2 linked regions of the Mytilus edulis genome follow. The protein of the gene in region 1 purifies or fractionates together with the protein of each later gene. This does not show direct contact. Links are inferred from orthologs where the notes say so. Each region holds a gene or a part of one and is shown in the gene's direction. Other genes may lie near its edges.

Region 1 (16,607 bases):
TACTCACATGTTATTATCTTATAAATACAGTTTTAAGAAATCTAAAACATTCAAGACAATTTAGTTATAAACTAACTACAGGTTGATGCACTCTTCAATTTTAATGTAATACAAGCTTCTATAAATTATCCCACTAAAATATCACAAATTAAACTTTACCCATGCTGAAAAAAATAGAGTATTTTCCTATTGTTTGAAGATGTAATTGTAATTGTGACTTTACTGTTTTGTTCCCTTTCACTCTCAGTCTTCACACTATAAATTTCAAGGCACAGGCCAGGTGGGCTTTTGGTTTTCAAATTCTAAAAGCCCACAAGAAATTTTACAGGCCCTTAATGTTTCACCATTACTATCACCGGTGAATGTTGCAAAGCGACACAAAAGAAAATTTTGGAAAATTAGATTTAAAATCCTGCATTCTGAGGTTACATTTTTGTATAGATCTTGAACATGTTGAAGTGAATATAATTTATCAAAAAAATTTAGTTTTTTTTCTCCAGCTCAAATGAAAAAGTCTCATTTTCTCAGATAAAAATAAGAATGTGTCCCAAGTACATGGATGCCCCATCCGCACTATCATTATCATGGGATAAAATTTCTAATTTGGCATTAAAATTAGAAAGCATGTTTACTTAGTATACATGTTCCCTTTGATATGATCTTTTTAGTTTTAATGCCAAATTAAATTTTTGATCCTAAATTAACGGTCCACTGAACATAGAAAATGATAGTGGGAGTTTCAGGTTAAAATTTTGGGTTGAAGTTTTTGGTCAAGGTAGTTTTTCCATTCTCAATTTTATTTGATGAAGTTGAAGTCAAATCAACTTAAACTAAGTACAACTTTAGGTTCCCTATGATACGATCTTTTTAATTTAAAAGTCAAAATTAGATTTTTTTACTCCAATTTCACAGTCCACTGAACATAGGAAATGATAGTGTGAGTGGGGCATCCGTATACTATGGACACATTCTTGTTTTAGTTTATTTTCTTTATATTTTAACGTTTCATTTATCTCAATTTATTAACCTCATTATCACTGATTACATTGATTATGTGTTTTCTTTGATCTTCAAATGCTAATTTCATTGATTTTCCAAATTTTCACAAACTTTACTATAATTTTCCTACATAAATCAATTATCCCTTTTCTTTGAATATTAATTTCACCAGTGCACTTGGGCAGTAAGTTAGTGCTCTAAAGCTTTTAAAAGTACCCTTGAGAATTTTTCTGTTATCAAATATTCATTAACTACTCTTACTATCAGACAAACATGAAAAAGGTCAAGCAATATTAGTTAACCAGATTGGTTTTCTTTAGAGTTAGAATGATCTACTTCAAGGTTATTTCTGCCCCAAAACATCTATGCTACACACCCCTGTGAGTTTATCGTGTGATGACACTGATGTACACACAGACACTTGTTTCTATCCATTGGAAGTTCAACTATTTTTGTATATTTGACTTCGTCCCCTACAACATGTGAAAAATCAATAAAAAAAATATGTATACAGGGATCTCCATGGATGAAAATTGAACCATGGAGGAACTTTCACCATTACAAACCTTGTCTGCGCTGTACAGTGTAGCGCGATCGGAAGTATTTTATCCCTCCATACAAGGAATGGTGAAAATGCTAATTCATTGCTTATTTAAATTATATTTATTTGAATTTTCATTATAGAATTAGAAGTATCAATATTTTCATTTATTGCCGTTTTTAACCATTCAAATGCCAAGTCATCATGGCCCCCCCCTTAGTCGAGAATGACCAAAAGCTGTCATGAAGGTCCCCATGCAGATTTCTTTTATTTTTGGTAATTGTTATGGGGGTTAAAAATCATCTAATGTGGAGCTTATTTTTCGTGGACACTGTCAAATTCAGAGCCCATTACCGGTATGGCTGATTTGCAGCAACAACAAAACAATTCGTACGGGTTATGTAAAAGGTTAAAGAGATTTGTAAAGCAAACGTCGACAAATGAAAAGGTTTTTAATGACTATCTGGAAAAATTGATGCTGTGCAACATGCATCTTTCGAGTCTGAATAGAAACCGGAAACGCAGATGTATCAATTTGATTGTAATATACGAAATGAATTCAGAATTTAGATACGATATTTCTTTACAGGAAATATATAAGTTTTTACTTTTAAACTTTTAAAGTAATTCTAAATTATCGTTACAGCAGTACTCGAGTTATTTACGATGAAATAATATTTACTGTTTTGCGTCTTATTTTGTACTTCTTAAAAAAGGGGGATGCTGATTGCGTAAGTCAAAAGAAAGCACGTGTTCGACTTGTTAAACTGTTTTCTTTGTAACTGGATTAATTTATTAATTTATTTATTTAATCTAAATGATCATAATCATTTGCTGAAACTTAGTTGATTACTTCGACAAATGGTTCGTCTATCCTCAGATAGTATTCTCCTGTTTGGTTTGTTGATCTACCTGTACAAGCTCAGGTATAAGTAATTAGCGATCTTAATCCGGATATCCCTCAGGCGTTAGAACTGTATTGGATTATAACATAAAAAGCCTAAGGGTTATGCAATTACATGCATTTGATTATAATTGATAAAAAAAATGGCGTCGGGCTACAAAAAACGATGAAGTTTTGAACGATGGCGGAAGACAATTTAACGATGGCGCAAGACAATTTAACGATGGCGCGAGTCATTTGACGATGGCGCAAGACATTTGAACGATGGCGGGGCTCCATCGTTAAACAGGCCATGGAGATCCCTGTGTATATATATATATAATTATCAATATACTAAATGAACTTAAACATGTTAATTTCCAATATATACTATAGTCGCCGTCACGTAAAATTGGCACCATGTTTTTAGTAAAAAAAAGTTTAAATATCGACCGCGTTTACTAAAGATCATGTTTTTCAATTAGCGGAATAAAAATCCTGTCCAAATATCCACTACTGTCCTACCTTTTATTGTGTTTGCACTGTATAATCCTGACCTTCACATTTTTCAACATTATTTACAGTGTAAAAACCGCCATCTTGGTTTCTATGAGGATCCCTTATTCCATAACATTCGTTACTCTCCGGTAATATCATTGTCATTGATGATACAATTTCCCGCGCTTTTTTACATAAAGATGACGAAAAGCTCCGAGAGACACAAGAAAATGGAGAGCATGTGGAACTCCACGGCAACACTTCCGGTAATAACAATGTCGGATTCCACCATACATAATAATCTTGAATTATGTGAAGGTCAGAATTATACAGTGCAAACACAATAAAAGGTAGGACAGTAGTAGATATTTGGACCGGATTTTTATTCCGCTAATTGAAAAACATGATCTTTAGTAAACGCGGTCGATATTTAAAGTCATAAGAAACGAGTGACCGGTGAAAAACAATGTTCTTCCAATTCTTGAACCAATGCATACAAACATCATAAACTTAGTCTTCTGTGCACGAATTTATGATTTTCTTCTTGTAAATTTCGTATAATAGTCAATTTTTTTATTTCAATCGGTCAGTGTTGTGAAAATATGGCAGGTAATTAAAGTTCGTGTTTTGAAGCCGAAGTTTAACGATTGTCACCTGTTTGTCAACAATCGACAAAAAATCAACAAAAAAGCATGGAAATTGAGCACGTGTTTAACATGTAAATTCGTATAATAGTTTATTTTAAGGACATTCATGGGTATTGTGATCACCGGATTTTTACGAGATGGGTCACACTGAGGTCACTTTGCATACGGAAAATATATCGGGGGAATTGCGTCCTGGAAGCAAGCAATTAAATTAAAGTAAACTTCTTCTAAATATGAATAAATTAAAGAATTTTCTTCAGAAAAAAGTATATGTACATAAGTTTTATAATGAAAACTATCCAATGAGTTATAAAAAAACATATGCATTATTTTTTTTAATTTGAGGTTTCTTATGACTTTAAAGGGAAACTTCGCAAAAAAATCAAAAATTGATATTATGTTCATTCTGTATAAAAATGCTCAAATTCATAGATATTAAAGTTTTATTCCGCTAGATAAGCTATCACCATCGATTTTAAATTTAGAGTATCAATTCTCAGCGGTCAGCCATTTTGTGTTCTTTCCCGATTAATAAAAACGATATGTCTATAAACCACAAAGAAACAAAACTACAGTAACCGATGTAGTCGTAATTGCGTGTCGATATCTTGTCAATCGTACGGTTGTTTTATCCGACTAACTAACTTGATACGGAAAATATTCTTATTTTTTTTAAATTACCATGGTCTGTTGTTTTTAAACTGTTGATATTGGAATTAGGTGAAAAGTCAAAGTTGAAATCATAAATAAGTGTTCCGTGAAAATTGTTTTCGAAAATCTAATTTGTTCATAATTCTTTAAAGTAATAAACTTTTTTCAAATATATTTTGATCTTCCCTCATCTGATCACCAGCATGGCTAAAGGTATTACTTCCAAAGGTATTGTGAGGGGTGTGAGGTGACACGTCCAGGTATTCAAGCGATTTCCTGTCGGGCTTGCAAGTTCATGCATCGTTTCACTTCTGCAGGTATTAATCAGTGTACACGGCTGATAACTTATAACTTATAACTTTCCATTTTGAACTATCAGATGTACTAGAACACACCCGCGAAATCGCGGGCATATACAGCTTGAGAAATGTTGTTGGATGATTTTTTGTAAAAGATACTACATGTATGTATGGGGAATTTCATAAAAGGTATCAAAAGCCCTCTCCTTTTTTTTCCAAAGTCCGATATTTGTTTCCTTTCTGTTAAATTTAATTATTTTCCTGTTTCTGGCCTCAGACCACAATTATTCTTCTCCTTTGCTACAACGCATCTTTTGGTAAAAGTCAAATTAAATTAAAAAATTTGCACCGCTTCAAACATGAAATAAATGTAACTGCTTATATATGGACCATTATTAGTCTAATAAAATATACTTCTAGGACAATCCATCAGTGTTTTTTTTCTTTTGAGAGCCTTATTAACATGCCAATGGTAGGATATGAATCTTGTATAAATGACTAAAACCATCTAAGGCTAATTTGAGGGAGTGTCGGAGGGGTTCTGATCCAGAAATCCCGGGATTAAAATCATGAAATCCCGAGATACAGAATTTAAGGAAATTCATATTCGAAATCCCGAAATCGAAAAATATATTCCCGGATCCCGTAAGGGTCAATCCCCAAATCCCGAACTTAAAAACACCCGATCCCGACGTCCTGAAAAAAGGTCACGGTCCTGCCTCCCTCGAGCTCTCATCTCTACCCTACTTTCATTTTTGCCAAATCACTATTACTTTCGCTTCCAACAATAAACTGTTATGCCCATTTATAGGCATTATGTTTTCTAGTCTGTGCATCCGTGGGTTTCTTCGTTCGTTAGTCCGTCCTTCTGTCCCGCTTCAGGTTAAAGTTTTTAATCGAGGTAGTTTTTGATGAAGTTGAAGTCCAATCAACTCGAAACTTAGAAAATAGAGTGCCGATGTTGCATCCGTGTACTATATGGACACATTTTTGTTTCCCCATGTTTTACTTATCTTAGTATATATGCAACTGGCGTGACCCTTTAAATAGTAAACATTTCAAAGAAAACAGTAGACAGAATACAGAGAGTCTCTATATATATATGTAAGTCGTATAATCGTAGTTTATATGTAGATAAACTCGAAAAATAATTGTCCACTCTAAGGAGGTATAATAGTTGTGGTTCTCGCGATCTAAACACCATGATATGGAAAACACTCTGATTGGCTTATTTATTTTTCATTTTTTTTTATCTATCATACGATTGGTTGTACTTGTGCATGATTCAAACCGGAAGTCTTATCTGTGACTAAAAGTCAATCTGATGACGGAATCAATATCCGGACTCCTTTTTTGTCGTTTTTCTCCCAAAATAACTCAATCTGAATAATCATAAGAATGGATGACAAATGCGACTATGCATGTTACCTATAGAACACAGAGGCATGATGATTAATTTATCTTGGAAGGAAGAGAAGCGACACACAAAATGAGGTCTTCTCGTTTAATAGTATAGATAATATACAACTCTGTCTTACTTGTCATTACTAAACTCATACGCTTGTTTATAAATAACATTTCTGGTGTAAAGAATATTATTCATAAAAATATAAATAATATCCAAAAAATAAGATTTGATGAAATTAAAATCTATTTAAATATTTTTTCCAAGGGTGAATTTGGGAAAATGTAATAAATACTCATTGTCAATAGTGAAGGACAGATTGGAACAAACCAGAAATATTGATTTAAAAAAATGTACGCACTTGCCGACGATTCGTTTATACGACTGGATAGAAAGTTACGGAACTATAGCGCAATTTAAAATATATAGTTTGTATACATTGAACATAAGAAAAAAACATATATTTTGAATAAATAGGGGTAAAAGTGTTGTAAAAAGACTAGTCCACGTATGCCAACAGTATGTAATCATCGAATGTCGATAGACTATTGTATACCAGAAGAAGAAGAGAACCAATTTGATTTAAATTCAGGTCGATGTATAACTTTTGCTTTGGTTCATTGAAGCTGTGGACCTAGTAAAATCACAGATTTATATTTCAATAAGATTGTTCATGAACAAAGGAAGGAATTCGTCATCACAATTGTTATATATGCCACTGGACGAACACTAAATATCCCCAGGGGATGTGAATATTTTGCTGGGAAACTTTAGAGTATCAAAGTTTCAAATTATTTTCGGGATTTATTTTCTTTCTTGGTATTCAATAACAGAAAAATAAATAAATTACTTGTCCGCTAAATAGGGGTATTCTTGTCAGATAAAAGACTTTTAGTTATATTTAAAAAATAGGGAAATATGACATTAAATTGGTTCTGTCCTTTTTTTAAACATCGTGAAAACACTGAGATGTGTGTCTAAGGTGAACGCCACAAGAACCCTGTAATACTAGTACGAGAGTATAGCATGTAAACATTCCTTCTCAATAATATGGTTGTATTGGAAATCTTTTCATACAGATTGACAACTCATTGTCCGATATGCATGTAATATTTGCCACATGACGCCCATAGTTCTTTCTACCATCACCATCTTATTCTTTGATATTGCTGTAAACATCGATGGTTCACACCCAAAAAAAGTGGGAGTAATGGACCTTCAGAACTTCTCCGTGTTATACACTTGTGAAATATATCTGAGACGAAATTTCTGTATTGAAAAGAATCTACATCTCACAAACAGGATTTTCAAATAACGATTTTGAGTAATCACCTTACAAACCAATATAAACGTATGGCAAGATATAACCATGAAGGGATTTAGTTTTTGTCAGACGCAAGAACTCATCACTATATCATAAACATATACGTATATATATGCATACAGTTTCAAATATCAAGAACAAGCGGTCGATGTCGATAGTCCGTTTTCTAACTGTTCAGAGTTAGACATGTCACTTGTTCATTCTTGGAAGCCTTCATATTCCCCGTCTAACGATGGGAACTCTTTCTGATTGTGTTGATTATAAATGCTTGTATGGTAATTCTGTCGTTTATCTGTACAAGCGGTTGCATTTCCTCTCCTTTCCCAACAAACAAACGAACGAAACGCTACTAGTCTGCTTTCTCTGGAGCTCATCCTGAATGGCTCTTATACGTCAGGAAACTTACATGTATACTAATAATGATTGTTTCAAGAACAACGATGTATGGACGAACTATTCTAAATTCGTCAATATCAGTTATGCATGACTAAAATATAACTTTTATTACAACTACTGTATTACTTATTTGGATTAATGACGGCTATCATGTTCAACATTGCACAAATATTATCATAGAATTTAAAAAAAAACCCCTCAAAAATCCTCAAAAGAAATAGTGCCTTAGCTTAGATAATTGGTATTCTTTTCACAAAAAGTTCGTGTAAATGATTGTCAAATGAATTTAATTATGTAAGAATAAAATGTTAAAAAGAAACTAAAAATGCATGTTGTAGTTGTATTTTTTTGTCAATTAAAAACTTTAAAATTGCAATAGTTTTATTAGCATTTAAACACAGCCAGATTTGAATACAAGTTAAGAAATTCCGGTAAAGTCAATGATATCAAACAGATCTACAATGGTATATCAAATTGGGTAATATTGCATTTAGTTTTTATTAAAGATTAAAACTACTATTGTTTGCTTCATATTTGAATCTTTACGCCAATTACCGCTAAGAAAGTAATGAAAAATTGTTTCCTTTTATTTTTATACTCTTTCGGAATTACGAATCTGAATTTTATTTTCAATTAATTTACACAATTTAATTATTGTATCTTTATTCTCATCGTGTATTAAATCTTAGTGTATTAACATCGTGACAGCATACTCTTTCTAATCCTTTCTGCTTATCCTTTCCAAATAACAACATTTATACCTGTGTACACTTGAACTCACACCTGTGGCTAAATAGCTACAAGGTAAACGAATTGACCTCAAGCCGAGAAATATACAGTGACCTTTACAAAATAATATACACACTCTGCTCACACATTAGTTGCATTGAAATGATTATCAAAACAATAACGGTAAATAGAACTGAAATATTTTCACTCCAATATCAGTAAAAATGTTCAATAAATATTATATGAAAAAAATCTCAACAATAATTAATTAAATTTATTCAAACACATTTACTAGAGATAATTTTATAGGAGTTTAATTCAATCAAAACAAAACGGTATATGCATATTCATTTTCGTTCATTCTTATATTGTGGTTAATAACTACGACCATTCGTCAGTTGTGCGCTTTTAATTACGTATATTGTCGATAAGCTATAAGAGTTAAACAGATTTTATTTTTTCCCAGAATTCAATAAATCGGGCTAATACGTCACGACCCACTCGAGAATTCAACCAAAACAGTTACAAATACTTGATTTTCTCCGTTATTAGAAGGAATGTAAATTTAAAACTTTGCAAATGTGTTTTTTATGTTAAGATGAACATAATTAGATGATAAGTAAAAAATCGCGGAATTTCCCTTTAAGAAAATTTTGACAAAAAACATGGTGCCAATTTTATGTGACAGCGACTATAAATGAACTTAAACATGTTATAATCATTAATTTTGTTTCTTCCGGTCTCGTTTGTTTGTCTTGAGACTTTAGGTATTCCTAACAACAGGACCAAAATCGGAAACATTAGACTTTTTCCGTTTCTTTTTTAACATTAAAAAAATTGATGATATGGACTTCGTTCCCTTTCACAGGAAGGCGTCAAAGCAAAAATTAAAAATAGCTAGCCTTCCAAGACGTCATAATTAATTGGACTAAGGTAACACCTGCCTAATATTAGAAGCTATGGATAGTCGACCTTCCCATATGGACAGAAACACGTGCCTATGGCTGTGGATGCACTTCTACACTTTAATGATATCAAAAAATTATGTAGCCGACAGGTTGAAATAGTCAATACAAAGGTATTTAAATGGTAAAATGTTGTAAATGGATTTAACAATGTAAAATAACCTCTTCTCTGTATGAATTTGGATCACGTTTTATCAAGTTTTGTAGCTGAGGGAGATTGTTTGGCAGTTTGTTGTGATTTCTGTCAGACATTCTGTTCTGTTTACATCAACCACGTGTGTCTCTTTAAACCGGAAATATCAATGACTGCACCAACTAAGAACCATTAATGAAGTTTTAAGAACACTACACAGGAATGAAATATTCATATTCTCCATTTCCATTCTCAATTTTACATTTTCGTCATAACGTATTGGTATAGATTTTTTTATTAAGTATTTGAGACAAAAATTAGTATTGATTTTATTTATACAATGTGATTTACAATTCCCAAAAAATGATATTGAAATTTTTTATTAAGACCGTTTTGCTTTATATTTTTGTGGATTTTAGATTTTAAAAGTCTGGATCACAAAAGTGCTTCAGATAACGAACAATTTGTTTGAAATTACAAGTTTTTTTTCTACCCTGAATTAAATGTTTAGAATTTTTTTTTTACAAAACTGGTGCTAGTTCTCAGATACTGGTAGTATGTCATCGTTTTTCCCTTCACTTGTACCAAGTGCTTCAGATCCTTTGTGGTTTACCGTTGATAAACCATGCGATGACGAAGAAGAAATTTCAAAACTGGAAGAAGAACATACTTCATGGGTAAATTTTCATTTATATTTTTTTTGCTCACCAACAGTTAACAGTCAGGGGACTTACTGAAATAAGTGATTTTTAAATCACTTATTTGAGTAGCAAATTCGAGGTTTTGTCACAAATTGGAATTTTGTATTTTTTTCAAAATTTTAAACACATAGGTTTAAATAATATCTTTTGATTAGTAAAATTGAAAAAAACAAACTTTTTCTTTCTTTTAAGTAGCAAGGTTTATGCCTTTGATGCTATCATTTAGCTTAAAATTCTATTTTTGTTGAAAAAAATGCTATAATAATGGCTTTACATAATGAACTGATACTTTCTTAGAAGATTTTTCCCAGCAGTGGGAGTATTTTTCCTGTGAAGTTCAAGGTTTCATCTTTCAGATTATGTAATTAAATTCTACTGTTCGTGATAAAAATTTCACTGTTCGGGGGTGTTGAAATTAGAGGGGGTTATTACAAGAATGATACTTAAAGAAGTGATTTTTGGGAAGGAAATTGAGGTCTGATACTTAAACAAGTGATTTTTATGTCATTATCCTAGATTCAGTACAAGGTCATCACCTGAAATGACCTGGTCATCCTAGACAACACAGATGTTGGTTCTGATAAGTTTAGAAACATAATTAGTCCCTGGCTCATTAGTATTCTATATTTAAAGCTACAATAAAATTAAATCACTTCTTCTAGTGATTAATTTGTACTACTTAAATAGGTGATTATTAAAGAAAGACAACTCTGACTTCCAACCTTTATGGAAATAATGTTACTTGAATCAGTGATTTATAAAATCACTTATTTAAGTAAGTCCCCTGACTGGTTAATTGTTTTCAATTTGTATTGGATTTATTGTAAAAGTAAGAAAGATATGTAAGATACTAACAGCCAAATAATGACAGACAAACTGGGAAAACATCAACCTACGAAACACAATATAAAAAAATAGACGTCACTAAGCAACACAAATCCCTATAGAAAAAAACAGGGGTGTACTTAGCAGGGCTGTTATCTACATCTTCATCTTACGACGATCCATCAGCACATTGATGACTAAACGTCTGTGCATCGCAAACAGATACTTTAATAATCAAATATAATAACTAATGAGTGCAATAATTCAGAAATAATTTTGTGCAAAAACAAAACAAAAATTAACACATTTACATATTTACAAACAGGTTGGATATCTAAATATACTGACTCTGGATCAGTATTTTAAACTGATCCAGGGTAACACTGATGACGTTTTGTGGAAGTGAGTTCCACAGTACAACTGTGAATGGAAAAAGCTTTACTTGAACATGTTGAAGTAATCTGTTCTAGTGCTAAATGTTTGGTATTGTAATAATTAGTGTACATGTATCTGGTGTTTTTGACTGGCTGTGGTAAAAGGTAAAGGTAAGGGTCTACTGCAATGAGATGGTGTGAGATTTTGTACAGCATAGTTACTCGATTGATGTTTCTGCGAGTTTCAAGTGACTTCCGTTGAAGATGGTCAATCATGGAAGTGACACTACTGGTGTTGTGGTTCCTGTTGGTGACGTAGCATGCTGCCCTACTTTGTACTTTTTCAATATTGTTTTTAGCTCACCTGGCTTGGCGTCCGTCGTCCATCGTCATCGTCGTTAACTTTTACAAAAATCTTCTCCTCTGAAACTACTGGGCCAAATTAAACCAAACTTGGCCACAATCATTATTGGGGTATCTGGTTAAAAAAATGTGTGGCGTGACCCGGCCAACCAACCAAGATGGCCGCCATGGCTAAAAATAGAACATAGGGGTAAAATGTATTTTTTGGCTTATAACTCAAAAATTAAAGCCTTTAGAGCAAATGTGACATGGGGTAAAATTGTTTATCAGGTCAAGATCTTTCTGTCCTCAAATTTTCAGATGAATCCGACAACCCGTTGTTGGGTTGGTGCCCCTGAATGGGTAATTTTAGAGATTTTTTGCTGTTTTTGGTTATTATCTTGAATATTATTATAGATAGAGATAAACTGTAAACAGCAATAATGTTCAGCAAAGTTAGATTTACAAATAAGTCAACATGACCAAAATGGTCAGTTGACCCCTTTAGGAGTAATTGACCTTTATAGTCAATTTTTAACCATTTTTCATAAATCTTAGAAATCTTTTACAAAAATCTTCTCCTCTAAAACTACTGGGCCAAATTAATCCAAACTTGGCCACAATCATCTTTGGGGTATCTAGTTAAAATAATATGTGGCGTGACCTGGCCAACCAACCAAGATGGCCGCCATGGCTAAAAATAGAACAATTGGGTAAAATGCATTTTTTGGCTTATAACTCAAAAATTAAAGCATTTAGAGCAAATGTGATATGGGATTAAATTGTTTATCAGGTCAAGATCTTTCTGTCCTCAAATTTTCAGATGAATCCGACAACCCGTTGTTGGGTTGCTGCTCCTGAATTGGTAATTTTAGAGATTTTTTGCTGTTTTTGGTTATTATCTTGAATATTATTATAGATAGAGATAAACTGTAAACAGCAATAATGTTCAGCAAAGTTAGATTTACAAATAAGTCAACATGACCAAAAAGTCAAAGAAATAAATTTATAATAGCCTTTCAAGACTTCATAATTATTTGGACTAGAGTGAACTCAGGTACACCACATGTGACTCATGTAAGTTCAAGTTATGGGATAATTCTAAAACTCAGCAATGACAGTGATTAAACATTCCAGGAAAAGTGGTCGAGTTTGTGGCCCTAACAATATTTGAACACATTAACTGTTGTTATCTCTGAAACTGATATTTCATAATGGTCAACTAACACATGATGGCTACAATAAAACCTAGAACCTGTGGTCAAATAGATCCTTATAAGCATAAACCCTCTATCAAGAAATCAACTGAGTTATATAACCATGTGTAATCTTAATACAGGCACAGCTAGCATGTTCCCAGCCAGATAGAGATGAAAAGTTCACAAATTGAAAGCTGAAATCATCTCTTCTGTTGTATATTTTGTTCTCAACAGATCCTCTGTGTCAATTCTAGATGTAAGTCCAGGGATTGAAGTTAAGATTTTGGCAATGGCTTAAAATTTGTAGCCAATATTTGTTCTGTATGTACTTATTCTTAATCACGACACAAGTTTGTCATGATGGCAGTGCTGAAATCCATGATAAAGAGTTTAATTTGCAGAAAATTCATGCAATAATTTTGACTTTGCTATAAATATTTTTTTAGATGGAAAGCATTGCAAAGAAAGACAGCAATATTGTTCCTATTGGAAAAACAGCATCAGAGGTATGTTTTCTATATTCTAAAGTAATCATGGTAATAGATTACAATGTAAAAAAATATGAAATTGATCATATGAATCTTTTTCTAAATCACCAGTCAAGCGTAAAGGGGAAGTGCTGTTTTCATTTTAGTTAATAATTCAGGGGCAGGTTCCAATCCCGGAACCCCCCTGGATCCGCCAATGAATAATTAAATACAGAGGCTAACATTTTCCTACATCATGTACATGTTACAAATTTGAGACTTTTTTCTGCAAATTTTTTGCATTTATTGCAAACATATTGGTTTACAAAGTTGTTTTTACATTGGGTAAATGCAATGAATCTTCTTCCTAATGAAAACAATTAAATTGCTCAAGTTACCATAATAAATAGCAGTGAAAGCACACTCTCCTACCTGTCCTCACAATACCAAATGTATTTCTGACATCTGATTCATAGTTTAGTTAAGACCTGCTTTGATACACAAATAAATTGATACACAAAATGTAGGCATGTGTCATTAAACTATTGTAACACAGTTTTCTACTAACATACAGCCATTACAGGGTAAAACGAGGAATAACAGGCGTTGCTTTCAAAAATAATAAACAACCATGAACCATGTTAACACAATACTGACTACATTTATAATTTAAGTGAGTACCAATTTTGGAAAACTTGAATTTTATGGATATATGTTTTCATAAAATTTGTATCCCAACTAATATTGAAGGATACAGGAACAGTCACAATATTCATGATATTGATAAATTTATATGGTAAGTATATGAAACTAGAGGCTCTAAAGAGCCTGTGTCGCTCACCTTGGTCTATGTGAATATTAAACAAAGGACACCGATGGATTCATGACAAAATTTTGTTTTGGTGATGGTGATGTGTTTGTACATCTTACTTTACTGAACATTCTTGCTGCTTACAATTATCTCTATCTATAATGAACTTGGCCCAGTAGTTTCAGAGGAGAAGATTATTGTAAAAGATTACTAAGATTTACGAAAAATGGTTAAAAATTGGCTATAAAGGGCAATAACTCCTAAAGGGGTCAACTGACCATTTCGGTCATGTTGACTTATTTGTAAATCTTACTTTGCTGAACATTATTGCTGTTTACAGTTTATCTCTATCTATAATAATATTCAAGATAATAACCAAAAACAGCAAAAATTCCCTAAAATTACCAATTCAGCGGCAGCAACCCAACAACGGGTTGTCGGATTCATCTGAAAATTTCAGGGCAGATAGATCTTGACCTGATAAACAATTTTACCCCCGTCAGATTTGCTCTAAATGCTTTGGTTTTTGAGTTATAAGCTGAAAACTGCATTTTACCCCTATGTTCTATTTTTAGCCATGGCGGCCATCTTGGTTGGTTGGCCGGGTCACGCCACACATTTTTAGCTCACCTGGCCCGAAGGGCCAAGTGAGCTATTCCCATCACTTTGCGTCCGGCGTCCGTCGTCGTCCTCTATCGTCCATCGTCGTCCGTCGTCCGTCGTCGTTAACTTTTACAAAAATCTTCTCCTCTGAAACTACTGGGCCAAATTTAACCAAACTTGACCAAAATCATCATTGGGGTATCTAGTTTAAAAAATGTGTGGCGTGACCCGGTCAACCAACCAAGATGGCCGCCACGGCTAAAAATAGAACATAGGGGTAAAATGCAGTTTTTGGCTTATAACTCAAAAACCAAAGCATTTAGAGCAAATCTGACATGGGGTAAATATGTTTATCAGGTCAAGATCTATCTGCCCTGAAATTTTCAGATGAATCGGTCAACCCGTTGTTGGGTTGCTGCCCCTGAATTGGTCATTTTGAGGAAATTTTGCTGTTTTTGGTTATTATCTTGAATATTATTATAGATAGAGATAAGCTGTAAACAGCAATAATGTTTGGCAAAGTTAGATTTACAAGTAAGTCAACATGACCGAAATGGTCAGTTGACCCCTTTAGGAGTTATTGCCCTTTATAGTCAATTTTTAACCATTTTTCATAAATCTAAGTAATCTTTTACAAAAATCTTCTCCTCTGAAACTACTGGGCCAAATTAATCCAAACTTGGCCACAATCATCTTTGGGGTATCTAGTTTAAAAAATGTGTGGCGTGACCCGGTCAACCAACCAAGATGGCCGCCACGGCTAAAAATAGAACATAGGGGTAAAATGCAGTTTTTGGCTTATAACTCAAAAACCAAAGCATTTAGAGCAAATCTGATGTGGGGTAAAATTGTTTATCAGGTCAAGATCTATCTGCCCTGAAATTTTCAGATGAATCGGTCAACCTGTTGTTGGGTTGCTGCCCCTGAATTGGTAATTTTGAGGAAATTTTGCCGTTTTTGGTTATTATCTTGAATATTATTATAGATAGAGATAAACTGTAAACAGCAATAATGTTCAGCAAAGTAAGATTTACAAATAAGTCAACATGACGGAAATGGTCAGTTGACCCCTTTAGGAGTTATTGCCCTTTATAGTCAATTTTTAACCATTTTTCGTAAATCTTAGTTATCTTTTACAAAAATCTTCTCCTCTGAAACTACTGGGCCAAATTAATTCAAACTTGGCCACAATCATCTTTAAGGTACCTTGTTTGAAAAATGTGTCCGATGACCTGGCCATCCAACCAAGATGGCCACCACGGCTAAAAATAGAACAGGGGTAAAATGTAGTTTTTTGCTTACAACTCTGAAACCAAATCATTTAGAGGAAATCTGACAAGGAGTTTAATTGTTAATCAAGTCAATATATATCTGCCCTGAAATATTCAAATGAATTGGACAACCTGTTGTTGGGTTGCTGCCCTCCAATTGGTAATTTTTAAAGAAATTTTGCTGTTTTTGGTTATTATCTTGAATACTATTATAGATAGCGATAAACTGTAAACAGCGATAATGTTCATCAAAGTAAGATCTACAAATAAGTCCACATGACCTAAATGGTCAATTGACCCCTTAAGGAGTTATTGCCCTTTATAGTCAATTTTTAACAATTTTCATTAATTTGGTAAATTTATGTAAATTTTTACCAAATATTTTTCTCTGTTACTAATGGGCAAAGTTCATTATAGATATAATTGTAAGAAGCAAGAATGTTCAGTAAAGTAAGAACTTCAAACACATCACCATCACCAAAATACAATTTTGTCATGAATCCATTTGTGTCCTTTGTTAAATATGCACATAGACCAAGGTGAG
Region 2 (16,113 bases), on another chromosome or scaffold:
TGTTATTGTTAGGTTAATGAATTTAACAGTACATGTATGCTGGGAATAGTAATATAGTATGTCCCATATATTTACATGTATATTAAAATAAAACGTGAAAACTTGTATTCCTAAATAATTCAGTGATACAATATTGAATACAGATTATATATTTTATTTCCAATGACAGCTTCTGCACATCCAGTATGTGCTTTTGGTGCATGTTTAAGTCCCACAATTTTTTTGTTGGAACCACTCTAGGCAGCCATCACAGACAAGTAATGCTGCAATGGGAATGTGGGTTTTCCAGACTTAACAGTTCCATTCTGCAATTTCCCTTTCTTGAAGTTAAACCAGCTTTTAATACATGCTATGCTTCAGGTGAAATTATTTTTTATTCTTGAAATATATATACATATTTATTGTACATGTTGTACATCCAAAATTTGTGTTGGATACATGTGATGTTGTTTTATGTTGTCTTTTAATACATGTACCATTTTATTTTTGTACATTACTTGTGTTTGTATTTACTCGGCTTATAATCATGGTAATAATTACAACTTTATAAAATCATGAAAATGGCTGAAATGGGAAAAAAAAAGTTGGTTAAAACTTTAACAGTCAAGGGTCTAACTTAAATAAGTTATTAGAGAAAAATAACATGCATGTTGTTATTGCGGGCTAAAATATCAAAATACTGTAATAACCAGTCAGGGGACTTACTTAAACAAGTGATTTTCTAAATCACTGATTCAAGTAACATTATTTCCATAAAGGTTGGAAGTTAGAGTTGTCTTTCTTTAATAATCACCTATTTAAGTAGTACAAATTAATCACTAGAAGAAGTGATTTAATATTAGTGTAGCTTTAAATATAGAATACTAATGATCCAGGGACTAATTATGTTTCTAAACTTATCAGAACCAACATCTGTGTTGTCTAGGATGACCAGGTCATTTCAGGTGATGACCTTGTACTGAATCTAGGATAATGACATAAAAATCACTTGTTTAAGTATCAGACCTCAATTTCCTTCCCAAAAATCACTTCTTTAAGTATCATTCTTTTAATAACCCCCACTAATTTCAACACCCCCGAACAGTGAAATTTTTATCGCGAACAGTAGAATTTTATTACATAATCTGAAAGATGAAACCTTGAACTTCACAGGAAAAATACTCCCACTGCTGTGAAAAATCTTTTAAGAAAGTATCAGTTCATTATGTAAAGCCATTATTATAGCATTTTTTCAACTAAAATAGAATTTTCAGGTAAATGATAGCATCAAAGGCATAAACCTTGCTACTTAAAAGAAGCAAAAAGTTCATATTTTTTTTAATTTTACTAATTAAAAGATGTTATTTAAACCTATGTGTTTAAAATTTTGAAAAAACTACAAAATCCCAATTTGTGACAAAACCTTGAATTTGCTACTCAAATAAGTGATTTAAAAATCACTTATTTCAGTAAGTCCCCTGACTGATAACATATGTATGTTACATGTTTCTAAGGGACAATATATATACAAACTTTATTTTGTTAAATTTTTTACAAGTTCTATTGATATTATAATTTTCTTTATGTATACTAAACTTTGCTAAGATATATAGCAGTTCATCATGTTCATAGTTTACCAATCATGCATAGTACACCTATGTTATTACAGAAAACATATTCCTGCAATAACCAAAGGGTGTTATTACAGCTTCTCTAAACCTCTTAAAAGACTTTGCTCAGACATATATCACAATGTATTTCAATTCATTGTAAGAAATGATGATCAGAACTTGTAATGAGGCACTGCGCAAGATTCCAAGTAATTCCCAAGTGTCTCATTTATTCTCATATAATAAGTTACATGCCTGTAATAACTAAGCCTTGTTATTACAGATTAATTTTCCCTTAAAAGCCTTGTCTCATTGATTTACTATGGTTGATCAAAATTGAATTAATGGAATTAGAAAATTAGTTATCAAGGTAATATATTAAGCCACTGCGCAAAGTTTCATGTATTCCCAAGTGCCCACAAAAGATAAAATATTTATGATATATTTAACTGATAACAAACGTATGTTATTACAGATTAAAGGGAAATTCCGCGATTTTTTACTTATCATCTAATTATGTTCATCTTAACATAAAAAACACATTTGCAAAGTTTTAAATTTATATTCCTTCTAATAACGGAGAAAATCAAGTATTTGTAACTTTTTTGGTTGAATTCTCGAGTGGGTCGTGACGTATTAGCCCGATTTATTGAATTCTGGGAAAAAATAAAATCTGTTTAACTCTTATAGCTTATCGACAATATACGTAATTAAAAGCGCACAGCTGACGAATGGTCGAAGTTATAAACCACAATATAAGAATGAACGAAAGTGAATATGCATATATATACCGTTTTGTATTGATTGAATTAAACTCCTATAAAATTATCTCTAGTAAATGTTTTTGAATAAATTTAATTAATCATTGTTGAGATTTTTTTCATAAAATATTTATTGAACATTTTTACTGATATTGAACTGAAAATATTTCAGTTCTATTTACCGTTATTGTTTTGATAATCATTTCAATGCAAGTAATGTGTGAGCAGAGTGTGTATATTATTTTGTAAAGGTCACTGTATATTTCTCGGCTTGAGGTCAATTCGTTTACCTTGTAGCTATTTAGCCGCAGGTGTGAGTTCAAGCGTACACAGGTATAAATGTTATTATTTGGAAAGGATAAATAGAAAGGATTAGAGTATATGCTGTCATGATGTTAATACACTAAGATTAAATACACGATGAGAATAAAGATACAATAATTAAATTGTGTAAATTAATTGAAAATAAAATTCAGATTCGTAATTCCGAAAGTGTATAAAAATAAAAGGAAACAATTTTTGATTACTTTCTTAGCGGCAATTGGCGTAAAGATTCAAATATGAAGCAAAAAATAGTAGTTTTAATCTTTAATAAAAACTAAATGCAATATTACCCAATTTGATATACCATTGTACATCTGTTTGATATCATTGACTTTACCGGAATTTCTTAACTTGTATTCAAATCTGGCTGTGTTTAAATGCTAATAAAACTATTGCAATTTTAAAGTTTTTAATTGACAAAAAAATACAACATACAACATGCATAATTTTTTTTTAGTTTCTTTTTAACATTTTATTCTTACATAATTAAATTCATTTGACAATCATTTACACGAACTTTTTGTGAAAAGAATACTAATTATCTACGCTAAGGCATTATATCTTTTGAGGATTTTTGAGGATTTTTTTAAAAATTCTATGATAATAGTTGTGCAATGTTGAACATGATAGCCGTCATTAATCCAAATAAGTAATACAGTAGTTGTAATAAAAGTAATACTTTAGTCATGCATTACAGATATTGACGAATTTATAATAGTTCGTTCATACATCGTTGTTCATGAAACAATCATTATTAGTATACATGTAAGTTTCCTGACGTATAAGAGCCATTGAGGATGAGCTCCAGAGAAATCAGACTAGTTGCGTTTCGTTCGTTTGTTTGTTGGGAAAGGAGAGGAAATGCAACCGCTTGTACAGATAAACGACAGAATTACCATACAAGCATTTATATTCAACACAATCAGAAAGAGTTCCCATCGTTAGACGGGGAATATGAAGGCTTCCAAGAATGAACAAGTGACATGTCTAACTCTGAACAGTTAGAGAACAGACTATCGACATCGAACGCTTGTTCTTGATATTTGAAACTGTATGCATATATATACGTATACGTTTATGATATAGTGATGAGTTCTGACAATCAAAGAGCTGAAAGCTCTGAGGAAAAATGACGCCACTGCCTCTAATATTGGGATATTTTTTATGCAAGTCTTGATTTTCACATACCGTAATAAGTTGAACATTGCAACATGTCTCGTAAGAATATAATTGATATTCGTATATGAGTGTGTGAAGTGAAGATGACAACTGACTGGTTTTTTTTTTAATACAAATGAATAGGTCAAGAGTCAAGACTACCTAAATGATCTACAGTATCCAATGACTACTGGCATGTTTTTTTGGTACAAATAAATAGGTCAAGACTACCTGAAAGATCTACAGTGTCCAATGATTACTAGCTGTTCTTTTGTACTAATAAATAGGTCAAGACTATTTATATGATCTACAATATCCAATGACTACTTGCTGTTCTGTTGTACGTACTAAATAAAGACTACCTGAATGATCTAAAGTATTCTAATTAATGTGTATTTTTTTTTTCTTTCAATTACATTTTTCTAATTCAAGAATACAGATTACTAGCATCCTTTCAAACCAAATGATTATGAAGAGCCTGTTGTAATAAGCTCTTATACCCCACTAGTCCTATAAACATATGACTTCACATTCTTCTTCAATTTTTAACGTTTTTATACTGATATTTTCATTTTTTTATTTTTTTTTGAATGCGAAGTGTGACACATTGATAGTAAAAAAAATATTATCAGAACAGTAAATAGAAATAGTAAATAATGCTCCTGAGGTCATATGTTATAGGACTAATTACCCACATACTCATTAAATAAGTTATTAGTGACATACACAAAAGTAGTTATTTCTGTTACTTGAAGCAAATTCTATTTCTGTAGATTTACACAATATTGTTATACTTGTTTTATTTCACATTGAAGATTAGACAAAAAGGGATACTCCTTTGATTTTTTCATTTCATGTCAGTCAGGTCCCTTTATATGAAACTTGAAACCACTTCTCTGCCATATTGATATTTTATAACAACTCTGCCCATGACCCATATAATTTGATATTCATTCTTTAACCATATATTATAGTAAGCTAGTTTTTTTTTATTTTACACTAATCCACAATCTTTCATGTTAAATTTTGTCTCCATTTAAGTTTATGCCATTGAACCATCATGGTATTAAACACAATCCCAAGTAATTGTGCTGTTACAGTGGGTCACCATATATTCAACTTGGGTGGCATTCCAGTTATTGAAATTTGTGTCAGATTGGATAATGAACTAGACCTTTAGGAATTGATCTTATAATTTAATATGGAGCCATCGTATGCGACCCCTACCCGGTAACAAAAATAAACATGTCAAGCAGCAATATTTATCACCAGAGATTACAAGTCAAAAGAGGATGGATAAGTCTCCAAAATATTTGCCAAACTGGAACTACAACAAGAACGAACAAAACGTTCAAGCCAAAGTTAGTATTTATGTACAAAGAAGTTGAGGGGCTGATTCGCGCTATTGAACCAGACGAATTCCTCTTAAAAACATGTCCGAAGAGAACCATAACTGCCGAGGAATTCAAAGAATACCACGAAACAATTATTGTGGAAAAGCAAGCAAAGAATAACTCTTACTGTGAGTGTATTGACATTCCGCCAAGTAAAACACCGTACAATATTCAAACTCACTTTAGGGCCTTAATAATATGGTACAAGTCAAATGGGCACCTGGTTAAATCGACATCTAGTCAAATCGGCACCTATTTAAAGCCAATTAGGCATCCAATAATAAATATAAATAATTCAACCTTTAAAAATGTGAATAAACATGATAAAATTAGGTTAATATTTCTATCAAACCCCCTTCCTTATCTACCTTTTCTTGGGTAAATACTGTAAAATTTCTGGACAACCCATTCCTTATTTTTACTGTTTTTGCTTAAAATACTGTTAAAATATATATTAAACAAATCTTACATGGGTGCCGAATTGACTATATCAAGTGCCGGTTTAACCAGGTGCCAATTTGACTAGATGCCGATTTGACTATACCGGGTGCCGAATTGACCAGGTGCCGATTTGACTAGAATTCCGTAAGACAGTGATCGCACCGATCAGGGCGAACGATCCCACCCCGCCAATAAAACCGTTGTATTAAAGCCAGCATCGATATCGACAATTTATGCACATGTCAATGCACATGTCATACAGATACAGTCTGTTACAGACTCTACTGTTGTAACTTTGTAAACAAAGATTGAGTAGGATTTCCGGTACTTATTTCCAATAGAAAGTGGACCAACAGGGACAATGTAATTTGTAAATAGCCAAGAGAAATCTTTCTGTGTTGCCCGACACTGCGTAAAGTTTTCGCGCGGAACCATTAACATTCAGCAATGAATCCGGTTCCTTACCTGGAAGAAGAAGAAGAAGACACATTATATTTTCTTATAAAAAAGGCAGTGGTTTGTAAAAAGAAAAGACTATCAAGTTTTCCCCGATTAATTATAGATTTTTAATGTTTTAACAATGTTTTAGTTTTACTTCACATAATCAATAAAGTTATAAAAATAGATTTATGAGTATCTTAACAACATTGGTTGGTACACTTCCATCTTTTTGGTAATAAGAAGGACCGGAGGTATGCAAACTGGTTCCCGGTTGATTACTACACAAAAATCATAATAAAAGCAAATTCCAGTTTAAATGTAAAAAGTAGATACGAAACCAAGAGCGGTAGACGGAGAAATGTAATGGAAAGTAAATACGAACCAAGCGCGGTAGGCAGAGAAATGTAATGGAAGTTCAGTTCACTAGTATAGAAACATGCCGCTGAAAGCGTCATTTTTCAAAAACTAAATTCCTTCATGGTTATATCTTGCCATACGTTTATATTGGTTTGTAAGGTGATTACTCAAAATCGTTATTTGAAAATCCTGTTTGTGAGATGTAGATTCATTTCAATACAGAAATTTCGTCTATATATTTCACAAGTGTATAACACAGAGAAGCTCTGAAGGTTCATTACTCCCATTTTGTTTGGGTGTGAACCATCGATGTTTACAGCAATATCAAGGAATAAGGTGATGATGGTAGAAAGAACTATGGGCGTCATGTGGCAAATATTACATGCATATCGGACAATGAGTTGTCAATCTGTATGAAAAGTTTTCCAATACAACCATATTATTGAGAAAGAATGTTTACATGCTATACTCTCGTACTAGTATTACAGGGTTCTTGTGGCGTTCACCTTAGACACACATCGTTTTAACGATGTTTAAAAAAAGACAGAACCAATTTAATGTCATATTTCCCTATTTTTTAAATATAACTAAAATTCTTTTATCTGACAAGAATATCCCTATTTAGCGAACAAGTAATTTATTCTTTTTTCGGTTATTGAATACCAAGAAAGAAAATAAATCCCTAAATTAATTTGAAACTTTGATACTCTAAAGTTTCCCAGCAAAATATTCACATCCCCTGGGGATAATTAGTGTTCGTCCAGTGGCATATATAACAATTGTGATGACGAATTCCTTCCTTTGTTTGAGAACAATCTTATTGAAATATAAATCTGTGATTTTCCTAGGTCCACAGCTTCAATGAACCAAAGCAAAAGTTATACATCGACCTGTATTTAAATCAAATTGGTTCTCTTCTTCTTTTGGTATACAACTGTAGTCTATCGACATTCGATGATTACATACTGTTGGCATACGTTGGCTAGTCTATTTACAACACTTTTACCCCTATTTATTCAAAATATATGTTTTTTTCTTATGTTCAATGTATACACGTATATATTTTAAATTGCGCTATAGTTCCGTAACTTTATATCCAGTCGTATAAACGAATCGTCGGCAAGTGCGTACATTTTTTTAAATCAATATTTCTGGTCTGTTCCAATCTGTCCTTCACTATTGACAATGACTATATATTACATTTTCCCAAATTCACCCTTGGAAAAAATATTTAAATAGATTTTAATTTCATCAAATCTTATTTTTTGGGTATTATTTATATATTATGAATTATATTCTTTACACCAGAAATGTTATTTATAAACAAGCGTATGAGTTTAGTAATGACAAGTAAGACAGAGTTGTATATTATACATCTGATAGTTCAAAATGGAAAGTTATAAGTTATAAGTTATCAGCCGTGTACACTGATCAATACCTGCAGAAGTGAAACGATGCATGAACTTGCAAGCCCGACAGGAAATCGCTTGAATACCTGGACGTGTCACCTCACACCCCTCACAATACCTTTGGAAGTAATACCTTTAGCCATGCTGGTGATCAGATAAGGGAAGATCAAAATATATTTGAAAAAAGTTTATTACTTTAAAGAATTATGAACAAATTAGATTTTCGAAAACAATTTTCACGGAACACTTATTTATGATTTCAACTTTGACTTTTCACCTAATTCCAATATCAACAGTTTAAAAACAACAGACCATGGTAATTTAAAAACAGTAAGAATATTTTCCGTATCAAGTTAGTTAGTCGTATTAAACAACCGTACGATTGACAAGATATCGACACGCAATTACGACTACATCGGTTACTGTAGTTTTGTTTCTTTGTGGTTTATAGACATATCGTTTTTATTCATCGGGAAAGAAGACAAGATGGCGGATCTCGGAGAATTGATACTCTAAATTTAAAATCGATGGTGATCGCTTATCTAGCGGAATAAAACTTTAATATCTATGAATTTGAACATTTTTATACAGAATGAACATAATATCAATTTTTGATTTTTTTGCGAAGTTTCCCTTTAAGGAAAAAAGAGTAGACAACTCATGAAAGTGTCTGTAATAACACATGCTTGTTATTTTTCTCTATTAACTTATTTAAGTTAGACCCTTGACTGTTTAATAAATCTAACGAAACAATAACGCAACATAGCTGTAGACACAATTATTATTGGTACGCTCATAGTTAATTGGTTCCTAACCCAAAATAGCATTTCTGCATTTAGATGTCCAACATAACTATAACTTTTTTATTAACATTACATGTACGTTTCAACGTAATCATAGCCAGTGTGTTAAACTTATAGTGATCCTTTAAATAAACAAACTCATTATCATATAGTAAGATTTTTTAATGTTGTCTTAACTGGACCTAGGATAATTCCTTATGGGATTCTGAGTCTGAAGCAGATTTTTGTCACCTTGGAATCCCTTATCATTTGCTTGTCAAGCCCCATCAAAATTAATCAAGTCTACTCAAGAAAATATTTGCCAACTACATCACCTCCTTTCACACCATTCTGTAAACCAGAAGATGATAGCGTTTCTTTGTTTACATTAAAAATGTAAATGACGTCACAACTGAAATCCCTAACAGGACCAAAATCAGAAACATTCGGTATTTCCGCTTCTTTTTTAACATGTTTAACAGATTTTGAAGTTAAAATATGTTTGAATTAAAAAAATAATTCATACAGATTTCGTCCCCTTTCACAGGTAATGCCTGCCTCATATTACCTGATGATAGGGTTTCTTTGTTTACATTGAAAATGACATCATAACTAAAAAGGACCAACAACGGAAACATTACGGTATTTCCGTTTCTTTTTTAACATTAAAATATATTGAAATTAAAAAAATAATTGATACGGACTTTGTCCCCTTTCTCAGGTAACGCCTGCCTCATATTATTCCCAGACTAGACTTCTAAATTATTATGTGAACAACCCCGAAAGTATAGAGTTTACTTGAAATTACTTCATTTAAACCATTTTTAGATGATAAAACAGCTAATTTAGGTCGGAGACGTCCTTTAAGAAACCATCCAATGACAAGACCGACTCCTATTCCTACAGCAACATATCCTGTTTGCTCTTTACTGAAAAATGATGTCATTTTTGCTATTTATTTTCAGCACATTTATTTTGCTCAATGTTACCTTTTTCCTCTAGTTTCAAGTAAAAATATGACTGTAATAAACACTAAAGTGATTGAGATCGTGTTTCCCTCGGAACATGCGGACTTTTCCCATCGCAATCGAAGATAAATTAGAGAAACCCGAAAGAAGGAAGTAGTAAAAATAAATAGTGGAGGAAAATGAATCTTTTTGATCATGTGCGGTTTTTGCACGAATCTGAGCTATTTCATGATCTTAAGCAGCTTGTACGTTTATTTAGAAAACTATGATAAAATTGTATCACCCTTAACAAGGCCAATAATGCCGTTAAACACAGGAACATGTTTCTATCAGTATCTATGAAAATGACAATGCGAAGATACATTGTATATAATTTATTTTGATATTCGACCTTCCCATTGATAGAAACAAATGCCTGTTTTCAATTGTCCAGTGTTCTCCCCAGGTGCCGCATCGCCTTCATAATATTTTCGTAGATCCTGCAGCGTCTTAATTGGCCGCTGTCCCTTAATCATACCTGTCAACCTCTGAAAATGAAAAGTCAGGTCATGACCTCCAATGAGAAAAAAAATCTCAGGTCATAACGCGTACGACATTTTGCGGGCTCAATTGAAGAACAAAAATATGTTTACATATAATTTATATAGTCAATATGTATATGAAACAGTTAGAACATGTATACAAGTTTATTTCAGACTATTGTTATATTCCATAGTAGCAGACTTGGCATTCTTTAAAAGAACTGCACTTGGTTTCAGTTCATAGCAATGCAAATGTGTATTCATTTTACAAGAAAGAAGAGCACACAGTGTATCCTTATTAAGATCAGCCCTACACTCTGTAGCTATTTTCTTTACTAAAGAAAATGGTATCGGGATCGTTCGCCCTGATTACATGTTCGCCCTAGGTTCGTTCGCACTGAGTTTGTTCGCCCTGGTATTCCGTTCGCCCTGAGTTCGTTCGCCCTATTCTCATAAATGATATGTATATGTTATATGTTTCATTAATAAAAGAAATGTATATTTATATATATTAAAATTTATGTTTATCTATAAATGATATGTATATGTTATATGTAATATGTTTCATTATAAAAGAAATGTATATTTATATATATTAAAATTTATGTTTATCTATTAAAGCTGAATACAGAATATTAATTAAATAAAATTCGTGGCTGCATTGTTACACTTTATTTTAGAATTACTTTTAATTACTGTTGATTGAATTTTGATTGCTGATTAGGTATAATTTGAAATCTTTGATATCACTGATTGTTATATGAATTGTCTTTGATGGATTAATAATGAAAATACAATTTTTCTCAAATAAAATAGTCAGCTTGGATGGGTAGAAACACTGATGTACAAATTGTTAGGCATGAAAGGGAAATTATTTTCGCAGCTTGGCTTCTTTGATCTCAAGTGTGTTTTGACAAATTTGTTATATATGGAAGTGGATTATGGAACCGGTGCATTATTCCATAAACTATGGAAGTGTACATGTGTATTTCTTGTGACAGAGAGGTCCGACCTCGTCAACATGCAGCATCATGTGACGTATGTGAGAAATGGTAGCATAGATTGTGTGGCACTGGTAAGTGTTTTAATTTATAAATATTAAATTTTGTTGCAACTTTCATCAGGAATTAAACAAGAATATATATATCTAGATATAGGAAGATGTGGTGTGAGTGCCAATGAGACAACTCCATCCAAATAGCATTTTATAAAAGTAAACCATTATAGGTCAATGTACGGCCTTCAGTATATACCCATATATATAATTAATGAACTAAAGTAACTATATTAAGATAAAAAAAGTCAAATATATATCTATATAACTACGTTAGTATGAATGTTTTCTCATATTTAGTATTATGTTCTAGTACAAGTAGATTTATATATATAAAAAATATCAATGTAATTTTATATTGATGTTTATATTGTTCACATGTGAATATATTTATAATATATAATTTGAATTTTAGGTATAACTTTTCAAGCTTACAAAGACGCCAGACATGGCAATGACCTACAGTTCATTTGCACACCATGTGAACAGATCAACTGGCCAGCACCAGAGCCAATAGTTGAGCCAGCACCAGAGGAGGTGTGCGAAGTGCAGTTCGGAATTGATCGATCTTGTTATAACTGTTACTGAATATTTTTATATTGTTAAAATGTATCAATAAAGTTAAATATATAAATAACTTAGTCTTTAGTTGTTTCATGTCAAATACTTTGTAGTCTTTGAAATCACAGAAACTTATCCTCGTAGCAGCAAGACAACATAATAACTTAGTACATTTAAAAATACAATGTAGTGCTGAAATTCCGAGACACTTATTTCCCAAAAGCAGCAACACGTAATACATCATAAATAAATATTCGGTGAATGTAAACAGTCTTCAACATATGCCATTACATACAAATAATTTAGTCTTCAGTTGTTTTACATTTAAATATTCGGCGAAATTGTAGACTGACTTCAACATATTCACTTAAAAACCCACAACACAACACTATAAAAAAAATAAAAATCGTAAATATTCGGCGAAATTGTAGACTGACTTCAACATATTCAATTAAATACACACAACACAACACTATAATAAAAAATATAAATCAGGGCGAACATACCCAGGGCGAACAGGTATCAGGGCGAACGGTCTCAGGGCGAAACGGAACTAGGGCGAACAGTAACTAGGGCGAACAAAAATCAGGGCGGACGGACCCGGATTCAAAGAAAATGCCCTCTCACTGTCTGCATTGCTGTTTGGCAAAACCAGTAATGTTTTAGCAAGTTTTGACAAAACAAAAAATCTTGGCTTGTTTTCAACTACCACTTTGTTATTTTCAACTGAAAGGGCCCTCTTTACTATTTGGGTGGTTTTAGTTTTTCCACAGGAATAACCTGAAGCTATTTCACAGCTCAGGTAAACAGTCCTACATTTTGACTTTTGGTTACATTGAAAAAGACCGATAAAACCGAAGGCCACATTACTTCTAAATAACGGAAACAATTCCGGTCAGAAATCCGGGTGAAACGGGAAATGTTAGAAATTCCCGGGACCCGCCGGGTAAAGAAAAACTCCCGGGTGAGAGGTGAAAATAACGGGTGTCACCCGCAAAAAACGGGTGAGTTGACAGGTATGCCTTAATACTTGATCCCACAGCATGTTAATTTTCACATTTTCATTATAAATGTTGGTTAAAATTGTCAAGTTGCTGATCACCGCTGAGAGGTCGGTCAGTGTTGCGCAATAACTGATAATTAGTGTTACCTGAGCCACGCTTATCTCAGCCTTATCGGACTATGTTATCATGTAATAGCGTAAATGATCATCAAGAAAATCTGTATTTTCAGAAGAGAATTAAAAAAATTAAAAACTTCAGTGCAGAAATTGAAGAAATAGATCGCAAATGCATTGTATTTACACATCGTGTGTGTGATTACTTGATCATTTAAATAACGAATATTTTCATTGGTCGAGAAGAAGAATCTATAAATACATGACCAATGAACGTATTGAATACACGTGATAAATTTGAATACACATTGCTAAAGATATTTACGATGAAAATTATGAATGAGAGTATTTGTAGTTGAAAAAATTAAAATAAACTTGGAATAAAGATAACGAGGAGTGATTTAAATTAATAGAAAGTGAAAAAATGTTGATTACAAGCTCAAATCGTCTCAAACTGTCATGTTTTTAGAAATAAAATTATCATTGAACATCGATCGCGAATCCATCCGTCGGGAAATATGTCATGGTGTGTTATTTGGCTTACATTTGTGTTAGTGTTATTTTGGATAAAAAATATGTTTTATTTTAAGAAAGAAAATTTTATGTTTGTATTTAGTAAAATTTTAATTAATGTGTTTATTTAATTTTACCTGTGCTGTGTCATTAGTACTCAAAATGTCACAGTTTGCTCAAAGCACTTTATTTTGAAATATTAATTGTAATTAGCATATGTCACTTTGAAAGTTTAGATTTTTATCAAAACATTATAGGATTAGGCTTTGTTAATTAACATCTATTTTTACTAATGAGAGTATTATTAACATGTCGGGACAAGTTGAGTTATTTCGGATTTTAGTATAAATATTGTTGGGAAATTTTGTAAAAGCAGTCAGTGTTTCGGAAGCGTAACCTCACACTACTCATGTCATTATACTGGCCCTATAAGACTGTCTACCAGTCTACCAGTTGACTGTGTAGTGTGAGACAAAATTTATCTCTAGACTCATAATTTAACTTTAGAAAATTATACTTTTGAGAAACTTTTATTTTGAGACTTTTACATTCTGAAATTGAGATTAAGTACATTTTATGATTTAGTAATTTTGGCATTTATTTTATATTTTACATTTTAAAGAGAAATAGTTTTACTTTGGATTTGTTATTTTGAATTGATACTTTGTACTTTAATTAGATTATTATTATTTGGCATTGTTTATTGATTGATTTGTTATCATTCATTTAAATCGTTATCGTTAATTAAATTATGAAAACCTTCCTTGCGTTTTAGCTATGCCTATCAGAACATTAAGTCTAGCGATAGACTGACCCCCTGTCCCTTGGTTCCAGCACATACGAGTTAGCTCCCCCTTATCTAACAGTGCTCTCGAGTGGACCTTGGTGACAAATATGTGACAATCCAATCAACATGGGTAGAATCGCCGCATCTTCTGTTTAATGTCATAAGTAAATAATTTCAATGGTCTTAACTTTAACCAATTTGTAAAGTTTCGTTTATATCAGAGACATATATACACATATGTCTCTGTTTATATCTACCTGTCAAAGATAGGTTTTAACAATAATACACACGGAAGCGTAATGTCAAACTACGGAAACTGTTCAGCTGTTCATTAAAATATTTTAATAAAGACTTTTTTATTTAAAAAGTTGTATACCAAATATCTAAACCATATTCGATTTTAATAATTCTGAATAAACGTGTTCTCTGCAAAAAACAAAGGCTGACTTCTAAGCAAAAGGCAGATGATGGAAGTAAAAGTTTTGTTTTTCAGACCAATGACTTCTAATGAAAAGGGGAATACGTATACAGCTCTGTCTACACCGTCAGTATTATAAGCAGATGGCATTGCTTCTCCCAATCCCAACCGAGCTTAAGTAATGGCAAGTGATAACAGCAAGCACCATGTTTCTGGTTTCAGTGACAAGTGGCTCACTGAGTTTTCATGGCTTAGAAATGTTTAAGGGGGTATAAGCAAATTATGAGAGGGGGTTTTTCAACCCTAAAGAGGATAAAGACAATGTTGAGGAACAGATTGTCCAACAAAATAACACTATCTTAAACCAATAACCCTAGAAGGAGCAGAGAGTACATAGATGAATATTTATATTTTGACTTCTTTAATTGACTGAATATAAATAACTTTTGTGTTTAAAATCAATTTATTTCATATATTCTTGTAATTCATTAGTACTCTGCATTATTAAACACCTAACACAATGCATTAAAATTTATATGACATGTCATGATTTATGACTAATTGCTTAAGATCACAAAAGTTCACTCTAAAAAAAGAGTTACGTGCCCTTGAATTTTGCGCCTTAACAAAATCCTGGGGAGAACACTGTTGTCATCAGTCGAAGAAATTTGTCAAAATACCAAAACAATGAAAAGATAAATAAGTCCACAAAACAACTATACATGAGACATGTGATATTAGACTGAGCAACATGAACACTAGTCCAAATAATTATGATGTCTTGAAAGGCTAATATGAGGCAGGCGTTACCTGTGACACTGATGGATAACTCGGACTAAAACAAAATCGGACTATCACAAACTCGGCCTACAATTATTTGTATGCAGAAATATATTGAACAAACTCGGACTATGATGTGTTTTTAAAGGGCAAGGTTTCAATTGTTGATGATAAAACATACACCATGTACATCATTTGTACATGTAGTCTGCTAATTTTTTTTGTTTTTTTTTTGTAACTTACGTCTTAGTAATCATATATACATTGTACCAGTACTCGCACATAATTTTATACCAAGCTATGAAGTGTAAAGGACTTATATATTTATTTCAAATTGAGATTTTTTGTAAATATATTTTTTTTTGTAGTCATGCATTGTGATATCGCTGTGTGATAACAACCCAATCACAGAAGTTTTCTCCTTATCTCAGAGGTACCAGTGTATGGTTTACTATGGAAACTCTCTGTATCATCTAGGAGAATTTTTGAGGGCAGAGGTGAGTCTTTGTTACCATGGTTTCCATAAACACAGCAATACAGATCTTCATTAAAACTCAGACAGTATATTATGTTCCTTGAAATATATGTCATGAATGTTGACATTTCAATCTGTTGATGAAATTATTAATTATAAAAAAATATTTGTATTTAAGAATTAAATGCTTGTTTTTGTAAATTCATTGGGGTGTAAAAGCGTTGACCAAAGTACATTTTGTATGAAGCGCTTCCGCTTCATTC

Evidence for each region.
Region 2: the proteins of anaphase-promoting complex subunit 15-like (region 1) and anaphase-promoting complex subunit 7-like purify together in Homo sapiens (affinity purification with mass spectrometry; 3 studies listed by BioGRID and IntAct, with this or other methods). This does not show direct contact. The link is inferred for Mytilus edulis from reciprocal best matches to the Homo sapiens genes ANAPC15 and ANAPC7.

The regions. Positions count from the first base shown.
Region 1 is NC_092351.1:36,926,461-36,943,067, reverse strand, and holds the start of anaphase-promoting complex subunit 15-like, read left to right. Parts: upstream 1-9,920; 5' UTR 9,921-10,027; coding exon 10,028-10,147; intron 10,148-13,357; coding exon 13,358-13,417; intron 13,418-16,607. Other genes in the region: protein SDA1 homolog, read right to left, coding at 9,500-9,589. UniProt on the Homo sapiens protein: Component of the anaphase promoting complex/cyclosome (APC/C), a cell cycle-regulated E3 ubiquitin ligase that controls progression through mitosis and the G1 phase of the cell cycle.
Region 2 is NC_092349.1:56,632,055-56,648,167, forward strand, and holds the start of anaphase-promoting complex subunit 7-like, read left to right. Parts: upstream 1-9,741; 5' UTR 9,742-9,803; coding exon 9,804-9,869; intron 9,870-15,743; coding exon 15,744-15,872; intron 15,873-16,113. Other genes in the region: peptidyl-tRNA hydrolase 2, mitochondrial-like, read right to left, coding at 9,465-9,602. UniProt on the Homo sapiens protein: Component of the anaphase promoting complex/cyclosome (APC/C), a cell cycle-regulated E3 ubiquitin ligase that controls progression through mitosis and the G1 phase of the cell cycle.